Arabidopsis thaliana: one gene and its partners. The protein of the gene in region 1 interacts with the protein of each later gene in a pairwise test. Each region holds a gene or a part of one and is shown on either strand. Other genes may lie near its edges.

Region 1 (8,158 bases):
TCCATATCTCCATCTGTAATGTATCATCTCTCTCAAATAACACTGTAAGTTGCTCATCTCTAACACTAGATAGAGTCACAGTATCTTCATTAAAAGAGTGAAACGGTAGACTTAGAGGGGGTCCAAATATCTCTCTTGTAAAATCATAACAGAGTAAGAACTCAGGGAGATGCTTTTGTTGAGTATTTCCCTTGAGAGACACGCCACGTGCAGAAAACTGTATCTCCCAGTTCGCAGAGTTAATGTTAGGGATAGTAATATTCATCCGTGGTTTAGAGGAGTTGAGGACTTGAGGTAGTAGAGTTCATACTGTACGTATCCGTAACAAGGTTCACTAAATCCCTTGGAAGATTGGCCATCATCATCTCAAGGATCATAAATAAGTTAGGTTAATGCTTCAGAAGATACTCTCCTCTGCTTCCGGTGGTTACAAATTTGAAGACAAAGAAACCCACCCTAACTGAATTGGGCCAATCATGGGCTTTAGAAATCTAATAGGCTTGTAATGTGGCCGGTGAAAGAGATAAGAGTGATATATTATAGGGATGAATTGTGAAGATTGAACCTCAATAAGACCAATCGGAAGATCACGAAGGTAAGTGTAATCAAAATCGTGACCTTTTGATATATAGTGATATGATAATCAATGGATTGTTTTTTTCTCTTCTGGAAATTAAACAAAAATTGCCAAAATAGAGGTTTGCGAGAGACTAATACAATACTGACGCAGTCTGGAAAAATTAAAAGCAGCTAAACTTTTTTCCGGAGATTTCGTGACTTCTTCTTCATCTTGTTGTGTCTCTAGTAACGACCAATACCCCAGACCCTGACAACTCCATCAGTGTAACCACTGAACAATGTGCTTCCATCTGCACTCCAGTTCAAGCTTGTGCAGTAGATAACCTGCATTTTCATTACACATTCCCATTAGATACCATTATCAATCTCTTCCTATATGTTAACATCAAAGTCAAAACCTTTGGAGCAGAGCAACATTTAAAGAATAAAATTCCTAGTTTCAAAGCTAATGGGTAAGGGAAAAGATTTCCTACATGCAATTTCTAACCAAAATTTCACTTTTTTTTTGTCATAACCAAAGATAATTTCATCACTACTTTTGGTGCATTCACTAACCTATCAATAGAGAACCAATTACTATAGTGAAATCATAAGATAATGACGTACCTTCTTCTGGTTACCAGTTCCAACACCACCTTCATTCTTCTCTGCCTCAGACTTGAGATCAACCTTCAAGTCCTCAACAACAGACTTGCTCTCAAGATCCCAAATCCTAATGCTATTCTCAGTAGCAGCACACAACCAGTATCTGTTAGGACTGAAGCAAAGCGAGTGAATAATCGAACCCGCCTCAAGCGAGTAAAGCTTCTTTCCTTCAGCCAAATCCCACAACAAGATAACACCATCTTTCCCACCACTGGCGCATAGCGAACCATCAGGCGAGACAGCAACAGTGTTGAGGTAACCAGAGTGACCAACAAGAGAGTTCCTCAGCTTACAGTTCTGGAGATTCCAAACTTTCACAGTTTTATCCCAAGAAGCAGATACAATAGTTGGTACAAGAGTATTAGGACTAAACCTAACACAACTAACCCATTCCTTGTGACCATCACCTTCAGAGATGGTATACTTACACTCACCAAGTGTGTTCCAAAGCTTAATCGTACGATCACGAGAAGCAGACACGATCTGCCGGTTATCAGTAGAGAATGCAACAGAGAGCACATCTTTCGTATGACCAACGAATCGACGAGTTGTTTCTCCCGTGGCAAGATCCCAGAGACGGAGCTCACCGTCCCAGCTTCCGGAGAGTGCAAACTGACCGTCCGATGAGAGAACAACATCTTCCACGAAGTGAGAGTGACCTGTGAGCCTACGCTGAGCAACACCGTAAGACTTATCGTCCTTTGTGAGTTTCCAGAGGATGATGGATTTGTCACGCGACGCTGTGACGATGATGTCGGAATTGTCGATCGGCGTAGCGATGGCCGTGACAATGTCGGTGTGGGCGCGCATAATGCCCTTCAATACGAGTCCCTCGGCCATGGTTTGAGGTTTTCGGGTTTCTTCTTCTTACTCACGAAAATGGCGTAACAGAGCGAGAGATTACGAGGTCGATTGAAATGTTTGGTATTTATACTCTAGGTCTAAAAATGAATCAAATTAGGGTTTAGTGTGGTTTCTGCGAGGAGACTGGCTCATTTGGGCCGGAGTTTCCGAGTCAGGTATAAATGGGCCTCTTCTGAAATAAATTTTGTTGGAGCATTTTTGTTGTGATATAGTTGAGAAATGTTTGATCAGAGAGGGAACATAAGAGCAATTTGAACGAATTCGATTGAAATGTACAAGAGTTTACTAAAACACAAATAACACAATCGTAGTTTGTTCATAATTTAGCTTTGATTCTTATTAAGGTTTTAATCGTGAAGTGCACAGCACACAGTGGCTTTGTGATGACCTTGGTACACTTTCACTTCTTTGCCTGCTGGCATCGACCACAATCTAGCCGTCATGTCCGATGATGCTGTACAACATCATAGAAACCCGTTTAAAGATTGTTCTGATATGTTTTTCAGTGGTTTAAGTTAAGACAGAGATTAGTACCTGTTACAAGAAATTCTCCATCCACTGAGAAGACGCAGTCCCAAACCCATCTTTGATGTCCTGTTATATAAGATTTGATGATAGTGTAAGAGACGATAATGGAGAATGAATGCTGTTGACAGTAACATGGAGAACATACCTGTTAAAACTTTCTCTAGTTTAAAACCATCGACGTTCCATATTTTGACAGTTTTATCAGATGATGCAGTCGCTAGATATCTGCTAACAAATATGTAAGAGCTTCGAAAAGGAGAGGATGAAGAAAACGGTTAAAAGAGAAAGTATAAGAAACATGTTACTTGTTTGCAGGAGAGAGGAGACATTTAAGGATGTGGCCATTATGAGCTTGCAGCTTATGAAGGGGCTCAAACTCTGTCATTGTCTGTAAAAGATTTTGAATTTTTAAATGGCATGGACAATTAGAGTAATGCGACTACAACATGGTTAAACAAAAGAAAGGTTTGCATATCAGGAACACTACCTGTTTTCCACGCAACAAGCGCCATACATAACATGTTCCACGGTTGTTAGCAGCGACTACCATTGTCCCATCCCACATAACAGTTAAAGACCGTACAGCTGTATCAACTTCTGGTACCTATAGTTAACCTCAAGTGATTATCTACGGATTTTCAGAAATGAAATGAAGACGTGTCAAAGGCAATTACCAGTTCACAGCTACACGAATTTGCTCTGAGATCCCATACACGTATATTTCCATTTTGGTCTCCAGATATCAATTCAGTCTGTACAAAAAAAAAAAACAAAGTTCATAATAAAGACTAAGGAAATAGTTCATAATAACAGCTGAGACAACTACCAAAATCACAGCAGTTTCAACAGTAGCAATACAACAACTCTCTTAAACATAAAACGAAGCTGATTCCCACAGCACAACAATAACAGATGACTTCATGTACCTGATTTGGGTGTAAAACAACTGTATTAACCGCTGCAACACTTTCATACTCCTTTTGGCAACCCGGAGCCCTGCATTTTGGTTTACGAGTCAACAAGAATACAATTTAGAACGTTCTTAGTATTTTTCGTAACTTTATATTCAATATCTCCTTATCCTTTCCCAGAATCCACACTTGAATAAATCTATAAACTTTTAGCTAAAGATGAAGATGACATGATATACCTTAAGTCCCAGATCTTAACTGTGCCATCTTCTGATCCTGAATACATCCATTTTGCATCACATTGAAATCCTACTGCCATAACATTGTTGGTGTGTGAATCGTAAGTCATCACCTAATACACACGACGACTCCATCAAGATCACTCAAGCAGGTAGAAGGAAGCAAACACCACATTGAGAAAAAAAGAGAGGAGTTTTACAGGTTGAGGACTATTGGAATTGACATCAAAGAGTCGAATATGAGGATTGCAAGCTGCAGCTAGATAATGCTTATCTGGGGTTATCTCAAGCCTATTTACATGCTGCAATTACAAACATTAATTTGTCTCAGTTTTATTAATTACTCAGAATTCACAAAATCAAGGGAGAGAGAGAGAGAAACAAACCGAATCAGGATACTGAATGGTACGGTAACAGCGACCAGTTTCGGCTTCCCAGAATCGGATGGTGTGATCATAGCTAGCCGTAGCAAGAATCACAGAAGGCTGACTCATTTTCGATCGATTTTATCCCGATTGAAATATTAAACCAACCATTTCGTGATTTTTGCTGATTCCCAGAAAACAAACAAACCCCCTTTTCGAAATAATCAACAGAAGAACAAGCTAGGGTTTGGTGATTGAGGATCAAAAAACAGGGGAAAGAAAAAGGTGCAGAGAACTGTAAATTGAAGAGAAGAAGAAAAATAGGGTTTTTACCAAGCTTTTCTCATAATTAATTAACGCGGGGAGGTTTTAGTATAAATATATATCTATTGGGGTTTATTTAAATATACGAAAATAAGTAAAGGGCTATTTTGTTATTTATGAAAAGTAATAAGAAAATATAAAGAACAACTATTTGTTCACTACTTCACTGACAGACATAACGGCTGAGACTCCTTGGAAGCTTTTAGAGACGGCAACAATGGCGGCTACGAAAGCTCTGGAATTTGTTTTGCCGACGGGCTTCTTCATCCAGCCGTCATTGAACCGTCGCGGAGGAGTTAGGCTCTCCGTCGTCAAGTGTTCCATTTCTTCAGTCACCTCTACAGGCACCGCATCTGGTAACGCTCGCCGATTTCCCCATTTCCGTATTTTCACAGCTTGATTTTTTCCCAGAACTTTAGATTCGAATTGGCTTTCGATTCAAATGTTATGTATATATATGATTTTTTCAGATTACTTGTAGGCTCTTGATTCGTGCCTTAATCATCGTTTTGGTTATTGTTTCTTTTAGTTTGGATGAGCTGAAAATGTGTGTGAATGTTGAAATGTGATTCAAACAAGAGTAAAGAGGGGAGTTAATGTGTGTTAAGACACATTTGTCAGTTTTGGTTTTACAATAAATTTGGGGGTTTTTATTTTTATGTTTGTAGGACATAATGAGTCCATGGGTTTAATGGGTGCAGATACATTTCTTTTCTATATAAGCATGTAGTCTCATTTGTGAGAAATTATCAGAGATATCAGAGACATCTGAAAGTCATTCACAGAATTAAGTATCATTCAGCTAAACAGTTCTTAACCTCTGTTCTATCATCTCTGTTTCTAACAGTGAATTCCTTGTTTTACCGGTTTTGTAGGTTTTTTAGAGAAACCATGGAGCTCATACAATGCTAGGCTAGTGTTAGAAGATGGCTCTGTTTGGTCAGCTAAGTCTTTTGGTGCTTCTGGAACCCGTGTTGCTGAATTGGTATTTAACACCTCTTTGACAGGGTCAGATTCTTTTTTAGATTCTAATTTAGATTTCTAGATATTATAACTGGGTTTAGAACATTACTCATTTTAATCCTACCAGATGATCTTGACACACGGGCAATAACCCGTCGATTAAGAGAAAGCGGCAGTCTTAACGGTGTGCTTAGCACTGATGGATCCAAAACCGACGAGGAACTTTTGCATATGTCCCGCTCTTGGGATATAGTAGGTCTGAATTCTTTCACTGCCCTCCTTAAAATATGATCAGCGTGGAATATGTGATTGAGCTCTGTCTATCTGCTTGGTTGAATATTTTAGGCCTTGATCTAATAAGCGATGTTTCCTGTAAATCTCCCTACGAATGGGTTGAAAAAACAAATCCTGAATGGGAGTTTAAGACAACCTCCTCACGTCACAGGGAATCCTACAGAGTGAGTTGTACTTTCTCTTCTCTAATTTACATTCTCATCGATTTCCTCACTAGCTTCTAACTCTGTTTTCATACTTCCACTTCAAAAGGTTATTGCATATGATTTCGGGATCAAGCAAAACATTCTAAGACGGGATTTCCTCACTAGCTTCTAACTCTGTTTTCATACTTCCACTTCAAAAGGTTATTGCATATGATTTCGGCATCATACGGTTGTGAAATCACAGTTGTCCCATCGACATGGCCAGCTGCAGAGGCGCTTAAAATGAAACCAGACGGGATTCTATTCAGCAACGGTCCAGGAGATCCTTCTGCAGTGCCTTATGCAGTTGAGACGGTTAAAGAGCTTCTAGGAAAAGTTCCTGTCTATGGAATCTGTATGGGTCATCAGTTACTTGGACAAGCTCTTGGAGGTAAAACCTTTAAGATGAAATTTGGTCATCATGGAGGAAACCATCCAGTTCGTAACAACAGAACCGGCCATGTCGAGATCAGTGCTCAGGTATGCTCCATTTACTATCTATAGATTATAACCACACAAGATTAAACAGTCTAATCTTTCAGTTCTAATATAGTTTACAAATATGATGGGAAAATAAAAATTATTAATCAAAACTTAGTTATATACTTATATATGTAACTCTGAGAACTTGTTGTTACATGGCTGTCGAGTTCAGCTTCTCACTTCCTAGTACAGTAAACTAAAAAAAAGACGTCTCTGTTTTGTGTCTGCTGAAGATTTTGATTGATATTGTTTGTGCGGATTTTGGCAAAACCATAACTATGCAGTGGACCCAGCTTCTCTTCCCACCGGCGTGGAAGTGACTCACGTCAATCTCAACGACGGAAGTTGCGCCGGTCTCTCTTTTCCGGCAATGCATGTCATGTCTCTTCAGTATCACCCTGAGGCTTCTCCTGGACCTCATGACTCCGACAACGGTATTAAACCATTCTTTCTTTTCCCTTTTGTCTGGTACCTATCAAAACGTAAACGCTACTAAAACGCTATGCATTAATTTTTGCCTAATCTTTTCATATATGCAGCATTTGGAGATTTTGTGGAGCTTATGAAAAGATTTAAACGAAGCACTTGATCTCGGCTAAATCAGTGATCTAGCGAAGGAGTTTTGTTTAGGTGGATTGAAGTTGGAGTTGCGAATTTTTTTGTCGTGTGAGAAATAAAATAGCATAATGACTGCCGAAATAAGACAATTTAGTTGAGAAACTTATGCAAGTTTGATATTTATACTAACATCAAAAGTAGCTTGCTTGCCATTTTTGTTAGGAACTGGATCTGGTATTTTGCTCAAGTATGGTTTTCTTGGCCCATCCACTTCTAATGTGTTTTGTAACTAATGCAAAATGTGCATTAGAAGTGGATTGGTCAAGGGAAGCGTACTTGTGCAAAATGCGGCAGTCCAATTCCTAACAAGTTTGGCAAGCAATCCATTTTTGGTGGCTTGTATGTACCGAGCTATTACAGACTGACGGTTTTGTTTTGTAACTAAAGAGGAGAAAAAAACTCTAGTATATGATTTCAATATCTATGGATCCTCCAATTTAGTTTTCTGGTTTAGATTTTTTTCTTCCTTATCTTGGATTTTCTGGTTTATTAGGTTTAGAACTAAATAAAACTGTTATGTGGTTGGTTTGATAAGATTTTGGTTTCAGTTGGAATATCAAAAAATATATAATGGGTCTTCAAAACATTACCATTCGTTGATAATAAACCCTAAGAAAATCAAGATGGCCGACGACAGCGCAACCCCCGGTGTAAGAGTCCCTAGCCACCGCTACGGTCGTCATTACCATCGGCGGAAAATCAAAGAAGCAGTAGACTCAATAAGCTCTTTACCTGATGTGATCCTCCAACATATCCTCTCCTTTATTCCGACCAAACTCGCCATCACAACTTCCCTCTTGTCAAAACGATGGAGACATGTATGGTGTGATACACCTTCTCTTTCATTTAATGATTACAGACTGGAGGCTCCATTTATAGACGAAACCCTAACTCGCTATACAGCTTCCAAGATGATGCGTTTTCACCTCCATACCAGCTTGATCAACAATGTTCCCCACTTAGAAAGTTGGATCAAGTTCGCCATGTCCCGTAACGTGGATCATCTGTCCCTGGATCTCTGGAATCAAGTTGCCAATAAGTTTAAGTTTCCTGATTTCTTCCACATCAATTCATCTCTCAAGCAACTCACTGTTGTGTTAGACTTTTCTGATACGATGATTGCCATATGCTGAAGAAGTTGTACTTGAGTACTTGTCTTC
Region 2 (7,002 bases), on another chromosome or scaffold:
CGCTGCTTATGCTCTTAGTCAAATTATGAATAGGGAATTCATTTGCGTCATCATCTCTGAAACACAAGTAAACACAAACTTTATAAGATATTTTTTCGGAAATTAGGAATTATTAAGCTGTCTTTTAGTAGTTATAGAAGTTGCCAACTTACTTTGGTTCATCCGATGTGAACTTAATTGCGTATATGGCACATGGTCTGTTGTAGCAGTACTTAATACCAAACTTTCTTTTATCTCCTAACCAACCGGCAAAAACCAAATATTGAGCTGATCCATTACTGTTTGGACTCCAAACAACCTGTCCAACACTTATTGATCTAGGAATTCCTTTGATTGGCTCGACCTCTCCACTGTTAACAGAAAAAGAGAAACAACCATCATAAAAAGTACTGGGTAGTTGTTCTTTTCTTATGGAGAGATTGATGGAAACCTGTCAACATTGATAACAAACAGTGCAGGCTGCCTTTTTCCGGCGTATGCTTCTCCCCATTCCTCTTCCCAATCCCCTTCACCTTTCCAGCTTCCAATACCCTTGTCCAAAGAATTTTCTTTCTTGTAATAACCAAGATGATCAAATGTAGGCTTGGGACGAGATGGCTCCTCGGCGACATACGCAACATGAGTCTCATCTGAATCCCAAGAGATCCCTTCAAACCTATCATACATAAGCCTTACTCATTTTTATACTTCTACAAGAACTTGTCTTTAAAAATCAGCCAAAAACAAAGTGCCATACCATCCATCAACGTATACAGAGCCATGAACTTTCTGTGGAATATGGAACTCCTTCTCTAGCTGAGAAGAATTCCATATCTCAAACTTTGTAGGAGATTCATTTTCAGGATTTCGAATTACAAGGAGCTTCAATCCCGATGGAGATGGGACAAAAGCCGATGCACCAGTCATCTCGATGGGAAATGGCGCCCAGTGAAAGTTTACAGATTGGTTACTTTCGTTCGAAATATGACCCGACAACATAAACTTCTTCTTTTTATTAGCCAAAAGGTTTGCTTGACTCAAGGCAAACATTGCCTGAGAACCTGTAGTAAGAGCATCAAAGTGAAAACATCATTTCATTTGGGAAGATGATTTTCAACAACAAAAGACTCAAAAATCTTAATTTACAAAGTCCCAACTTGAATATGCAAAAGTGATTACCAGAATCAGAATTAAAAATCCAAGCTTTATCAATGCTGGGAATATTAATGAACTCTTGAAGTAACTTTGACTGTGTGGCATACTCTTCCTCTGTAGTTGGGTCCAAACCAACATGCAATTCTTTAGCCGAATCAGTTCCAGAAGAATCCATAGCTACAAATCTTCGAATCCAATTCTTGTAACTGAAACAAGTATCTCATAAATCACTAATGATTGCAAAACAATTCCATTAATCAGATTCATCATCCATAACTCTAAACCAATCAAGTTCTTAGTAGATATGATTGGCTTCAAATTCGTTAAAACAGAACAAACAAAAAACCAATCAAAGTAATAAACTTTCGGATTAAAAACTGTCATATAAACGATACCCATCAAAGCAATACCATCAATGATTCTCAATTCGTGGTAACACCATCAAAGTAATGAATTTTCGGATTGAAAAACAGAGACTGAGAGAAGAAGAAGAAGAGCTTACGGAGACTGAGTGAGTGAAGGAGTGATGAAAGTAGATCGGAAAAGAAGGCGACGAAGATGACGATGAGAAGAGCTCAAGTCAAATCCCAAATTGGTGGAGCAAGTTATTGGGTAGTGACTAAAGATTCTCGCCATCTAATATTAAACAAAACAAAAAAAAGTTGAAAACTTTCGATAGTGATATCCATTACATTGCCCATTTCTTAATCCAAAATTTTATATCTTTCACTATGTCCCAAACTTATGTTAGTATCAAATACTAAACTTTATTGGTTATGTTAGTATCAAATATCTTGAGCATACATATAAACTTCGTATAATCAAAACTCATCTTTTACAGAATTAACCAAAGCTAGTTTACATCTATATAACGTATTTGTAACCCTATTGCTTTTTCTTTCTTTACACCAAACTTTTTTTTATCTAAACAAAGTAGAATTTGTTTTTGCCTCGACCAAAAGGTGTTTTGAGACAATGGATCATAAGGCAGTAGGAGCTTCGGATCCTTTCATGATTCTGAGTTTTTGACAAGATGAAGAGAACATGTCCCATGGAACATCACCGACCAACATCCAATCTCCATCTTTGTCTTCATAAGTAGGTACAAATCCAGATCCTTTGTAGCCTTCTCTCTCGGAATATTCACCTACTGTGAACTTGAACATGTTCTCTAGTGCTTTGAGAAGCTCTGGATAGTTTTTGTACATCTTGAGATCTATCTTACGGAGATATGGAGCTCCGTCCATACTCACTTTCACATAACTCACGTTTTTGTTGTTGTTGTTCTTACGGTTAGATCTCACTGGAGGCCATCCAACGATTTGTGTTCTGAAGTTTACAAATCAAGATTCATTATTAGTACACCGATTGATATCAAGAAGTTTGGATATTAAAACTATAACTTTCAGATCTCAACTTACTTTGCAGGAGGAGGAGCAGATTCTTCTGTTGAGTCGTTGTTCTTGCGCTTGTTGTTGCTTCTGACGCAAGAAAGTTCTAGTTGTTGTTCTTCTTGTGCTCCGGGTAATCCCAAACGAAGCTCTGTGTCCTTAAGGTTAAGCCCATTGGTGACTTCCATATTCTCTCACTATACTTTAACGGAGAAGCTCTCTTCCTTAATTCTTGAACTACTTCTTCTTCTCTTGTTATTGCTCTTCTTGGGATTGTGATTTGATATCCTTGAAAATGCTTGTGTGTGTTGTGTAATGGTGAGGGAGAGAGAGAGATTTATATAAGGAAAGATGCTTTGAAATTAGGGTTAACGAGAGAGAGAGAGAGATATGAATTATGACGTTGTCGGGGAGCATGAGGAGGCAAGTTAGAGGCAAGGGGACAAAGGTGGGACACAAAGATTTTGGACGCGGCTTCTTTCTTATTTTCAACGGTCCTGATTTGTCTCCGCCAGTTGCGTACGCGAGATCCTAGCCGTTTCTTTCTCTTACGGTCAAATGAGTAAAGAGAAAATCATAAGAGTAAGAGAACTTCTCGACCTTCGTCCTTCTACCACACGATCACGCTAGGTTTATGTTTTGCAACTATTCGTTATTCGGATTGATTCAAGAAAATATCTAGATACATTTTGTATAGTTCAGATTGGATCATCGGATATCATAGTAGAAAAAATGAAACTAGTGTTGGACATGTTGATCATATAGATCAAGCTTTTTCGATCACCCCAGTTGTGGGGTAGTTTTCATGAAAATATTTCATTTTTGTGTAAAGGTTTGGTATATGGTAGAGTAGATGTCTAGAATAGATGATCAAATATTAATGGTCAATTTGTATCGAAGAATTAACAATTTCCTTTTATAAATATTTCGACAGTTTTTGCGTGAAAAGTAATGTTTTGTTTGCAAGAAACTATAGAACAAAATAATAGACAAAACACTGTAAAATATTATTTATTTTCTCGTAGACACATATATAAATTGTAAGTATAGGTTTGTACAATTATGATCAATAGTAAATAAATTGGGGAGGGAGATGCATGTGGATGAGGGTGAAGAGTGTTCTTAATGGAATAATGGATGCAGGAAGTATGGTAAGGCCATGTGATATGCTGTCTCAAATAACATTTTTTCTATTTATTTTATTTTAATTATTGTGTAAAATTTCATTTTAACATTTATTATAAATACAAATATCTATATGAAACTATATATTTTGTTGAAAAAGAGTTGAAAAAAATATCTAAAGAGATGATTTAAAAAAAAAAAAAAACCATTTTAAATGGGCTTTTGGGGACACGGCCCATGTGGTATTTCGAGCAAGGTAATACAATTAATCCCTTCTCGAAATTACGCATAACTATGTTCATTTAACTTGCAATTCCCATACCGCATGCACCTTAATTTGATGTTTATATTTGTGTTGGGCGTATATTCATTCCACAATCACTGTCCACTAAGAAATTTTATTGTCTATCTAGCGACAACGAGAACAAAAACTAGATCATATATGAACATATTGACAAATCAAAATGTATATGGGTTATTTTACCAATAAGCATTATCGTTTTTACAACAAGTATAAAGTAATGCTCCCTACGTTTAAAGTTTATAAGATGGTTGAACAATTTTTTGTCATTTTAGTTGTTGTTTTTGTTTTTCCATACAACATTTGTGTTTTAAATTAATAATTAGTACTCATATTATTGAACTATTATTAATCAAAAAGTTATTTCTAGTTTCTTATTCTTTTCATATTCATCCAAAACAATTTTTTTTATTAAAAAAAACATAAAGAGTATAACAAATAAAAAAGTATATGTATAAACTTGATCATGAAATACAGAGATGCTAGTCGCTAGAGGCTTGCGTGTTCAATATAAAACAAGACGTATGCTTATAAGAAGTAACATTTGTTAAATCTGTTTTGGAAATCCCTCTCATTGTGTGGGAGATGATAACATAATTGTAGAGTTTACATGCTATATAATAGTATAACGGATTTTCTGATCCCAATAGATGGATCTCCTGCAGGTAGGTGAATCATGATAATATCATTTATACTTATGTCACCATGTGTCCATGTTAACTGTTATTTTCACGCTAAACCATGTTCAACGCATGTTGATGAATATTCATTTTCTTACATATTTATCAAATATGGTGTGTAGTTTGTTCTCATATGCATATCGATTGTCAACGATACAAGAATCCATACCTAAGCTTTGAGAGTTTCGTGTGGCATGTTAATTACTAAAACCTATCAAACTCTTCACTGCAATTTTAAAAAAAAAAACAGAAAATTTTGCCTGTTTTTTTTTTCTTTTTTGGCAATCACATGTTATGTTAATACTTTAGAGCGTGCAAAATTCATAGGAATGGGGACACAATCCACCAGTAGACACTTTTAGGGTCGTTGAGCAAACAATGAACATGCCAATGCTCACTCTCAACTTTGATGTGAAATGCACTCACTTGGTTCTCATTCCTCTTACGTGTTCTCTCTTATCTTTCTCTTTGTTCTTGTCTTCTGTACTGTTTATAGATAAGAATTGACTAATTGAATTTTTTCCTTTGTTTTCTCCTTTTTTGGGGTCTAAACTAAAAGAATGGTTGCAAAAAGGTTCTTAAAATATATAAATTAAACAAAATAGTTAAATTTAAAGGTTATGCTTTAAGTTTAAGGTAAATTTTAGAAGACTATTTTCATCAAAAATGGTTAGAAAAATTTCGAATAAATTCTGTGGATTTTTACCTTTAAGGAGAACTAATAAAATATTAAGGTTTTTCTTTTAGCGAAAACGGAAACTTTTAAAACATTATTTTGCACTAATCACACTTTTCAGTTTTAATCAAAGTATATGATATACATGTTTAACTATTCACCATCTTTCGGTAAATAATAAAAATTCAAGTAATTTGAAATTATTATTCGAAATGATTATTCATTTAAAGGTATACAACTACATATATGTAGAAAAACAGATGTATAAGCGTGTGCATTTAACTTGCATTAAAAAAAACTTTGCATGTGAGATGTTACAATGTAGGTACAATTTACACTCGTGTGATGAATTCCTGACAAAATTTGGAACGTATTGAAAAGGTATGGTCCAAAATCAAATCGTAGAAAGGACAAAAAGCTGAGCCACAAAGATTTAAGTCACAATTCAAATCATTTATCTACACATACCATAACTTAAGAAATGCACGTGTGCCATCTTTAAACCACTTTTTATATACTCGGTTCAGGTTGAGTTTATACCGCATCACCGCCAACTCTTATGGGCGAAATATTCTTCGCCAGATCTCTCACCTTATCAAAGACAACCCTTATGTGGAACATACATGATCTATAAATTCTACCAAGAAAGTGTTAACTCATTATGTGAACCCTAAGAATAACTCAAAGACTGCATTTTAGCATGTCCAAACAATAGGTTCAAAGAGGTTTCACTCCTGAAGAAAAATTCATGATAAGAATTTAGATAATACCAGTAGCGATTTGGTGAACAAGATGATAACGTTGAGCGTCTGGCCGAGAATTTAGCATCATATATCAACAATCACTCAATATTACGATAGATGACACATAGTTAGGATAATGATTCACACAAAAATGAAAACGTTGAAGGATAAGGTGGATTAACTTATGAAGAATATCAAATGGTTGTTATCTACTGCGAATATTGCATAGGTATGACGAATAAAATACTTCGTTAGGTCAAAAGAATTTTCACCAAGAGGATTCAACCAAAACTACATAAATCATCCTAATAATATTTTTTACACGAGAACTAATGCCGAAAACATGCATGCAGCGTGCCTAGTTTATCCTCAGCATGAGAAGTCTCATGAACATCGTTTTCATCCTAGATTTGCGCATACTTATAATATTTTTGGCTAGGGTAACAACTTAAGTATCCATATATATTTGGGTAGTCAATAGTCATGGTCTAATTCTTTTTTTCTTTTTAAGTCCAAAGAGTAATATTGGCACCCGAAAAAACTATGTTAGAATTCGAACCCTGATGGTCAATTATACTCGAACCCAGGTGACGGAGAATTTTCTCTCCTTTACCATTGTACCAAAGCAACACTATTTATTATTAGGTGTTAGCTTAGAAGCAATAGTTGCTGAAATTTGTTCAAACGATAGATGAGTCTATCTCAAGCTAGATTAGAGGTGGAAACTAAATTATAAGAGTTTCCTTGCCATGGTTATGTCTTTCTCCATCTAGGGATGTGTCTCAAGGGCAAGTTAATTAAGAGACAATTTAATTTTGACGACGTTCACAAAAAAATGATGTGGGTTCATCTAAGGAAATTAAGCCTCATCCTCATTTATCTCGGGCAAAGCTGGTATGGCTTAAAGTTTCTATACCTAATCATTCTACTCATGTGGTTGTAGTCTACTCTC
Region 3 (8,851 bases), on another chromosome or scaffold:
AAGGGGACGGGTCTTTGTTGTCGAACTTTCTTTCGAAGTTACGGAGATCCCCTCAGTCGGAGGATCGCAACAGTCTTCTAAAGAAAGTCTGGTGCAGTCAGGCGAGGAGTTGTTGCTAGTGCAACGGTTCACACCTGTTGGGCGGCGTTATGATGAATATATATATATACATGGTTCAGAGTGTTTAGACTTGATGAAGAAAGAGGAAAGAGAAAGTGGGTTCAAGTTAATGACTTGAACGACCGAGTGATCTTTCTTGGAGCTCAGACGAATCTCTGCTGCTCAGTACATAAGCTCCCAGGTGCAAAGGAGAATTGCATTGTGTTCATTGAATCAAATGATTGTTTCATCATTGACAATGACTCAGTCCTTTTGTTTGACTTAAAAACCAGAAGAACTAGTACTGCGTTTAATGAATGCAAAGGCTACATGGGCGTGTTCGGCGCAAATCTTGAATCTTTATTGTCTTGTGGACTTGTGACCATTCGAGACCCAACGAAAAGCTTTGATTTCTGTTATGATTATAAATATTAGTCTTTTTTTTCTTCTGGATTCCAATATGACAAAACATCTATTAATATATGTTTCGAAACGCTATTATTATATTTAATATATATTATTTGTATAGTTTTCTGATTATATTCTACCAAACAAGGTGCGGTAATCGTCTAGTTTTCATGTTATTTGGGAATCATTCATTGCAATGACAAATTTTTTGTAAGAGCATTGATCAGGTCATACGAAAAAAGCTCCTTTTATTCTGATGCATACAACTTTTTTTGTATTCTGATGCATACACACGTACACAAAAACACATACAAACATGAAGTGATGAAACATAGATAACTTTTTTTATGATAAAAATGAAGATGGCCAATTGCTACATTCATAATAACAGGTGCACGTACGGAATCCATATAGTCCCACGCAACGACCATAATCGTTAGGCCCGACGTATGCCTTCCTACAGTACGCTTTGCAATTATCACATGGTACACCCTTGTTCTCGCGTTGGCACATATAAGAACCTTAAACCCACGGAAGAAAAGAACAAAAAAAAATTTGTTAGACATTTTACAATTTGTTCAAGCGTCACCATTTCCTTGGCCATATCTTAGTTTATTTCTTGCTTGATCTTGTTGATACCAATCAACTCTCGGAGGGAATTTATAAGGTTAACTTGTGAAAGAAAAATGTGGACACATATAGAAAGAAACAAAATAGAAGATAAGAGAAAATCACAGAGGCTACAAGTGTATGGTGTAGCTTCCGTAGAGTATCGCTTATTGCTCTTAATTCTTACATCACAAAAAAGTTGGTTACTTTAGTTAGGTACTTGAAAATCTGCACGTTGTGTCTGTAGTAAAATTATAATGAAATTTATTCACTTCATAGAATCATTACCTGATTTTAGCGAGTAGCTCTTGTTTTTGTGACATCACAAAGTTGGAGAATACTTCATCCGTATAAACTTTTGTGTCATCAGCTACTAACACAAGCATAGAGAATTACATTTTTAGTTTCATACCAATTAAAGTATGGCAACATCCTTATTAGTATGAACCTAACTCACACCCAAAAGCTATCTCAATGAGTGGAGGTTTATCACATACTTATATATTGCTCCACAATTTATCAAAGTCTCGATGTGAGACATATTCTAATACACCCCTCTCACGCTCAGAATTGGACATCTAAAGCGTAAAATTTGTGGGATTGGACATGCACGGGTGGTCCACAATCGAGACAAATTGAAACCTTGGGCTCTGATACCATATTAGTATGGGCCTAACTCACACCCAAAAGCTAGCTCAATGAGTGGAGGTTTACTACTTATATATTGCTCCACAATTTATCAAAGTCTCGATGTGAGACATATTCTAATAACCCTCATTTATTATCAAAAGAAACTTTTCTTTCAGACACATATAAAAGGCCTTCGGTTTTTGTCCGGAACAAAGAGAGTTTTCAGTTTTCGGTTCGAAATTGGTTTAGCAATCTGTTCAATTTGGCAGAATTTTGAATCATGTTCAGTTAGTTCAGTTCCCCTAACCGAGCGGTTGACCTTTTTTCTAAAACCAAAAACATACCAAATCGATTCGGGTTTATGGGTTTATGGATATCCGGTTTGGTATGTTTTAAACTTCGAGTTTTATGTTTTTCATTTTCGGATTGTTGCTTGCGGTTTACTCTTCAATTACTCTTGTTTGAGAACTTCTATTTGTCATATTTGTATTGTTGTTTGCAGTTTGCTATTTAGGTTTGGAATTTGGATGTTAATGTTCATTTTTTCACTCTGTTTTTTCTTGTGATTTGTCACAAATCATTTGAAACTCGGGTATTTTTCGCTGTAATGGATAATTGTTAACCAATTTTTTCGGGTATTTACCGGTTCTCAAATTGATTACCCAAATCAACCCGAATCCGAATGTACCCGAACCGGATTGGAACCGAAAATTTCATTTTCCCTTATTGGATAGTAAATCTATTACCCATTTAACCCAACCCCGAACGGGTTACCCATATGTTCAGCCCTAGTTTCTACGAAAAAACCGAGAAGTAACTGGCTTGGTCCGGTTAACCAGTTGGTTAACCGAGCTCGCAGGTCTAATATTGTGTAGTATTCGTCAATTGCCGACATAAGGCCACAAGTGTATAGTGTAGTTACTCTGCATTATCCACACCTTTTGTTTGTGTCATCAATCAATTACTTTAAACACAAGCATATGAAATTACAGTTATAGTTGTATACCAATTATAACACCACAACAGTTATAGTATATTAGAAAGATTATTTATGTATCTTGTAGACAAACTTAAAACCAAAAAGAACATAAATTGGCCAAAATCATCAAAGTTCTCATTCGATAGTTGAAATAGGAAACAATATATAAAAGAAGTATAAAATCCTAAATCGCTCTAGAACCATGTGGAACTAGAGGATTCCAACACATGTTTATGACAAGTTATCACCCACAAAAGGGTAATATGAGTCCATACATTGATGGTCATTCATCTGATTCAATCATAAATTTTACACAATCAATTTGTCGGTAGTCTCCTTTTGGTCATATCCTATAGTAAGAGATGAGAACTAAACCGCCATTTTCATTTCTATCTTCTTGTGAGGATCATAGCCTGTGAGGTCAAAGTCAGAAGCCACAAAAGAATCGATTTGTTTCTTCTCCGGGTTTATCTTCATTACCTGCAGTAGTGAGCCCATGACGACAAACAAAAACACGGTAAGGATAGGTGAATATGCATTCCTCGATGATCATTGTCGGCGATATACTTACAGGAAAGGGTTTTGGAAGATTCAGAAGTTGCTCTTGCAGAGGCCTCACGTGAGTTTTGTATACATGAGCATCCCCAAGAACATGGATAAAATCACCAGGAACAAGATCACACACATGAGCCAGCATGCAAGTAAGAAGAGAGTAAGAAGCAATGTTAAACGGCACACCAAGGCCCATATCTGCTGAACGCTGATACATTTGACATGAGAGTTCCCCTTCTGCCACATAAAACTGCAAAAAAAAAAAAAAAGTAATCAAACTCATTGTAGGAGAAACAACAGAATTAGAAGATAAAGTGGCATTACTTGTGCAAACATATGGCATGGAGGAAGTGCCATCAGCTTAAGATCAGAAGGATTCCAAGCTGACATTATAATACGCCGATCATCAGGATTGTTCTTGATTTTGTCAATTACATCTACAAGTTGATCAAATCCTTGACCAGTATAATCAGCATGCATATCTGTGTACCTGTAAAACAAGAGAAAGATGTTTCACCAAAACAAATCCATCGGAACAGAGAAGAAAAAACCAACATATGCATTGAAAAGTTACTGACTTAGCACCAAAGTGTCGCCATTGAAATCCGTATACAGGTCCAAGGTCGCCTTCCTCTCTCTCTGTCAGGCCGATACTGAAAATACGGTGGATAAATCAGCAAATAGGTCGTCAAGATCAATATTTCTTTAACCAAAAAGATAATGCAGGTTACAAATATTACCCATCGAGATACTCTCTTGACGCATTCCCATCCCATATATGGATACCTTTTTCCTGAAGGACCTGCCCATGTATAAAGTCTATCATAGATATAACCAATTCATTTGCATAGTTTTAGAGCATAGCAGAGACACTCTGGCTTAATTTACTTTTGCATTGGTTGAACCGCTTATGAACCATAGAAGTTCCTCAACAACACCTCTCCAGAAAACTCGCTACCAAAAAAAAGCAAACAGATTGCGTGAGTTTGAATATGAGCTAGTGTAGATATGCAACTGCCACTAAATACAACAGAAGACAAAGCATTCTCCTTTTGCGAGTAAACGTGGAAAGTTAAGGAAAAAGTGAGCATACCTTTGTTGTCAGAAGTGGAAAACTTCTGCGTAAATTGAATTTCATCTGTGTTCCAAGGAAATGTGAGATCATTTAACCAACTAGAGATAAACAGAATACATAAAGAAACGGATTTATATCACCTGGCAACCAAATTTTGATAATGTACCAGTCCCGGTCCTATCATTCTTCACATTGCCATTAGAGATAATATCTTCAACCATATTCAAATACAGAAACTCCTCATGCTGATCAAAAACCATCTTAGGAAGAAACAAAAACTTCTTCCCATCAAATTGAAGAGACTGTGACCCATTGCTTTCATCAGAAGATTCATCAGCAGAACTCTTTACACGGACAAAAGTCGTGAAGCAAAACCGAAGTCCATTTTCAGTTACTGGAAACGATGAAGACCAAGGCTGATAAACAGAAGTATCAATCGCAGGTATAAACGTATCACAGTCAACACTTGTATCAATCTCAGTTAAATGGATAGCATCACAACTAGGCCTATTCAATGCTTCCCTACACAAATACAACCAACCAACACTTAGTTCCAACCAACAACAAGATTCCGAATCACCAAAAGGGATAATAAATGAAAATCAACAACCATTACCTCAATATGTCACCACCTCCTATAACAAAAACCCTCTCAATAGATAAACAATACGGCGGCGCAGCTAACAAATCAAGAGCAGAATCTACACTACTACAAGTGACAACATTCTCAGTGTTGGCTATATCAAACCCACCAGAACGAGTTAGAACAACGTTAAGCCGACCCGAAAGCGGCCTATACTTAATGGGAATAGACTCCCAAGTCTTTCTACCCATCACAACAGCATTTTTCTTAGAGGAATCTGAAGTGGTCAAAGTAATGTCTTTAAAGAACTTGAGATCTGTTGGCAAATTCCATGGCAATTTCCCATCTTTACCAATACCCATTTCTTTAGTTGCAGCAACAACAACTTGGTAAGTCCTTTGAGGCTCTGAAGCAAGTGTAGTGGTGACACTGTCATTGAGAGTAGTTGTTGCCATTGTGGAAATCAAAACCTTGGAGATACTTGCAATAGATGATGATGAATTGCGATGGCTAGTACAAAGCCAAAGCAGAGACTGTGAAAATCAAACACAAGAGTCAGATTCATATGAATTAAACTATCCAAAACAATCAAAGAATCGAAATTTGAAACAAATAGCAAAAGGGTATGGAGAAGAGATCAGTACTGACCGATTTAAAGGAGAAAGGAAGAATCTTTGAGGGGTTTGCAAATACCCAAAAGAGATTATCGAAAACCCAGAAGAAAAGTAGGTAAAGGTTACTTTTTTTTTTTTTTTAGTCACGGAGTTGAAAAGGACAGGAAGAGAAGATAAGCGGGGGAGAAAAGAGGGAAACGCCGATTCGTAAAACGCTTAAAGTAGACGGACGTGTCTCTATCAAACTAAAATAGAAGATCGAAAGTAAGGGTCGGGTTTTAAAGGTAAGACCACTATCCGGACACTATCCACTACTGCGAAGTGCGAACCATGGTTTTAGATAGACCAATAGTTATTTCAATCTTTTTTGTTTTGAACATAGATTTCTTTAATTATGTATGTTGAACTTACTAATTAATATGGACTTTCTCATATTTATATGTTACTATTCCCTCTTTTCAAAATAATAGTAGATTTTTGAATGATTTAAGTAAATGACAAGTTTTCGGAGAGAAATTACAGACTAGGCATGTGATTATGGGGTATTCCGCTTTTTCGGGATAGGTAAGTTTGGTTTCTCAAGTATTTCAGAAACTGAAATTTTTACAAAAAATAACCGATTAAATTATCGGTGTAGTTTTTGGTTAATTCGGTTATTAATTTTAAAATCGAAATATTTGGTTATTATATTAAAATTTAGTTAAATTGGGAAGTCTAGTTCAAATCTAAATTGACACGAACCGAAAAGGCACCGAACATAATATAAACCAAAATTCTAAAATACCTAAATAGATCTTCAATCTTTTGAACTAATTATCCAGAATCAAAAGAAACCGATCCAAACCGAACTGATGATAATTTGGTCATGTAAAACCATTGATCCTCAATCTTTTAAACTAATTATCCAGAATCAAAAGAAATCGATCCAAACCGAACTGATGATAATTTCGTCATGTAAAACCATTGTGTAATATGTTTTCTTATGATGATAATTTGGTCATGTAAAATATGTTTTCATCTGTAAAGTGATTAAGATGATAATTTGGTCATGTAAACTATGTTTTCATCTGTAAAGTGGTGGGCTGCACTTAGTCCAAATTGGCGTCATACTCTTTTCTATTAATTATAGCATTTATTGGTACAGATACGAATCGATTTTGATATATTTCAATATTATATCACACACATGTCCATTTCCATATATTAAGAACAAACCAATTGTAAAAAACAAAAAAAAGAACAAAACCACCTTTGGACCTTATCAATAGCTTGTTAAAATGACATTCAAGTACTTTTCTACATGTCTTAATTAGTTTCAGATGATCCTCACCATTACCATCTTTCACCCTTCCTTCCTCTCAAGAACTCATCTCCAATAAGGTAAGGAAAAAAAAACACTGGTTTTGCTTCTCTTTTCCTCAATCTTATTTCTTAAACAATCTTAATCATCTTTTAGGTGTTTCATCAAAAGTCTAAACCATGGCTGACACCAAACAAGGTTATAAGTCAATGCATTTACCTTAACTAGCCATTGATACAATTTTTCCTCTTGCCTAAAATGTTAATGTAAACCAATCATGTGTGGTTTAGATATGGAGAATTCAGAGGATGGAAGGAAGCTAGTGAAGATGAGCTCGCTTAAACAGAAAGCGATAAGCGCATCAAATAGATTCAAGAACTCTTTCAAGAAGAAGACTCGGAGGACCAGCAGCAAAATTGTGTCCGTAGCCAATACAGACGACATCAACGGGGACGATTATCTGTCCGTGGAAGCGTTCCGTCAAGTCCTCGTCCTTGACGACCTTTTGCCCCCCAAACACGATGATCTTCACATGATGCTCAGGTTTTTATATTTTTCTTTAAGATCCCTACTAGGTCAAATGATGTGTTGTGGTATGAAATAAAATATCATGAAGTCAACTAATGGAAAAATTATACCAATCCAAACGAATATTTTATTTGATGAGGAGCTGGTTTAATAGATGACCAAAAATTTGGTTGTCTTAACATTATAACATTTCATTAAATCTTCATATCTTAAAAAAAAAAATTGTTCATCTCTTACAAGCGAATCAATAAATGTTTTACACTTTCATATAAATCCATAATTCATGATGAGTTTACAGCTAAATGTTACTTGTTGTAGATGATTATTGCGATTGTAATATTATGATTTATTATGTTTAATCTCTACATAGATTCTTAAGGGCGAGAAAATTTGACAAAGAGAAAGCAAAGCAAATGTGGAGTGACATGCTTCAATGGAGGATGGATTTCGGAGTCGATACAATCATTGAGGTTAACTTTTTGTCCAAGAATCTTGGAACATCTTAGACTGATCATTTATATATACACAATCTTTGACGAGTGATTTGTTTGGTTTATAATTTTTTTAATAATGAAGGATTTCGAGTTTGAAGAGATCGATCAAGTACTCAAACATTATCCGCAAGGTTACCATGGAGTGGACAAAGAAGGCAGGCCGGTTTACATTGAGAGATTAGGTCAAATCGATGCAAACAAGCTGTTACAAGCGACTACAATGGACCGGTATGAGAAATACCATGTGAAAGAGTTCGAGAAGATGTTTAAGATCAAGTTCCCTTCTTGCTCTGCCGCAGCCAAGAAGCACATTGACCAAAGCACAACCATTTTTGATGTCCAAGGAGTGGTTTGTCACATTTTTCTACCTCAATTCTTCTTTCGAAAATGTATAAATATGAAAAAATGTTTAAAACGATGTGTCATTTTTCAATTACTAGGGGCTTAAGAACTTCAACAAATCCGCGAGAGAGCTGCTTCAGCGCCTTCTCAAGATCGATAATGACAATTACCCTGAGGTAGTTTAACCTCAAAAAGCTTATTACTCGTAGGTATAGTAACAAGTAACAACGTTGTAAATAAATTATTCTTCATAGACTTTGAACAGAATGTTCATCATCAATGCTGGTCCTGGATTCCGGCTCTTGTGGGCTCCAATTAAAAAGTTCCTCGATCCAAAAACGACATCAAAGATTCATGTTCTTGGGAACAAATACCAACCCAAATTGCTCGAAGCCATAGACGCTAGGTAAGATTCTAGTCCTTAACTCAATGATATATCTTGCTTTGTATTATAACTAATTTTATACAAAAATCATCGTAATCTCGTTTTTTGTTTTAGCGAGTTGCCATATTTCTTTGGCGGCCTTTGTACTTGTGCAGACAAAGGTGGCTGTTTGCGATCTGACAAAGGCCCATGGAATGATCCTGAGCTTCTTAAGGTCAACTTTGGAGCTTAAAGCACCTTTTTAATTTAAAAG

The links.
Region 2: the proteins of LST8-1 (region 1) and IAA1 interact in binary tests that used the Arabidopsis thaliana proteins (3 or more experiments, as listed by UniProt).
Region 3: the proteins of LST8-1 (region 1) and THY-1 interact in binary tests that used the Arabidopsis thaliana proteins (3 or more experiments, as listed by UniProt).

What each region holds. Positions count from the first base shown.
Region 1 is NC_003074.8:6,210,308-6,218,465, forward strand, and holds LST8-1 (Transducin/WD40 repeat-like superfamily protein), read right to left. Parts: upstream 4,498-8,158; 5' UTR 4,261-4,497; coding exon 4,153-4,260; intron 4,069-4,152; coding exon 3,967-4,068; intron 3,880-3,966; coding exon 3,767-3,879; intron 3,613-3,766; coding exon 3,543-3,612; intron 3,369-3,542; coding exon 3,291-3,368; intron 3,221-3,290; coding exon 3,104-3,220; intron 3,005-3,103; coding exon 2,922-3,004; coding exon of another isoform or gene 2,918-2,921; exon of another isoform or gene 2,842-2,917; coding exon 2,762-2,841; intron 2,683-2,761; coding exon 2,623-2,682; intron 2,543-2,622; coding exon 2,436-2,542; 3' UTR 2,278-2,435; downstream 1-2,277. Other genes in the region: AT3G18120 (F-box associated ubiquitination effector family protein), read right to left, coding at 1-265; RACK1C_AT (receptor for activated C kinase 1C), read right to left, coding at 802-903, 1,186-2,064. UniProt on the Arabidopsis thaliana protein: Component of TORC1 complex, which is an essential cell growth regulator that controls plant development. Acts by activating transcription, protein synthesis and ribosome biogenesis, and inhibiting mRNA degradation and autophagy.
Region 2 is NC_003075.7:8,356,893-8,363,894, reverse strand, and holds IAA1 (indole-3-acetic acid inducible), read right to left. Parts: upstream 2,900-7,002; 5' UTR 2,714-2,899; coding exon 2,556-2,713; intron 2,464-2,555; coding exon 2,115-2,463; 3' UTR 1,862-2,114; downstream 1-1,861. Other genes in the region: AARE (acylaminoacyl-peptidase-like protein), read right to left, coding at 1-56, 153-350, 431-655, 737-1,040, 1,159-1,340, 1,637-1,770. UniProt on the Arabidopsis thaliana protein: Aux/IAA proteins are short-lived transcriptional factors that function as repressors of early auxin response genes at low auxin concentrations.
Region 3 is NC_003071.7:7,078,944-7,087,794, forward strand, and holds THY-1 (thymidylate synthase 1), read right to left. Parts: upstream 5,923-8,851; 5' UTR 5,584-5,922; intron 5,553-5,583; exon of another isoform or gene 5,469-5,552; 5' UTR 5,391-5,468; coding exon 4,969-5,390; intron 4,875-4,968; coding exon 4,493-4,874; intron 4,416-4,492; coding exon 4,371-4,415; intron 4,232-4,370; coding exon 4,166-4,231; intron 4,080-4,165; coding exon 4,018-4,079; intron 3,931-4,017; coding exon 3,856-3,930; intron 3,768-3,855; coding exon 3,602-3,767; coding exon of another isoform or gene 3,557-3,601; exon of another isoform or gene 3,528-3,556; coding exon 3,297-3,527; intron 3,206-3,296; coding exon 3,095-3,205; 3' UTR 2,820-3,094; downstream 1-2,819. Other genes in the region: AT2G16365 (F-box family protein), read left to right, coding at 1-238; AT2G16380 (Sec14p-like phosphatidylinositol transfer family protein), read left to right, coding at 7,029-7,047, 7,140-7,392, 7,748-7,847, 7,954-8,220, 8,312-8,389, 8,468-8,619, 8,713-8,812. UniProt on the Arabidopsis thaliana protein: Bifunctional enzyme. Involved in de novo dTMP biosynthesis. Key enzyme in folate metabolism.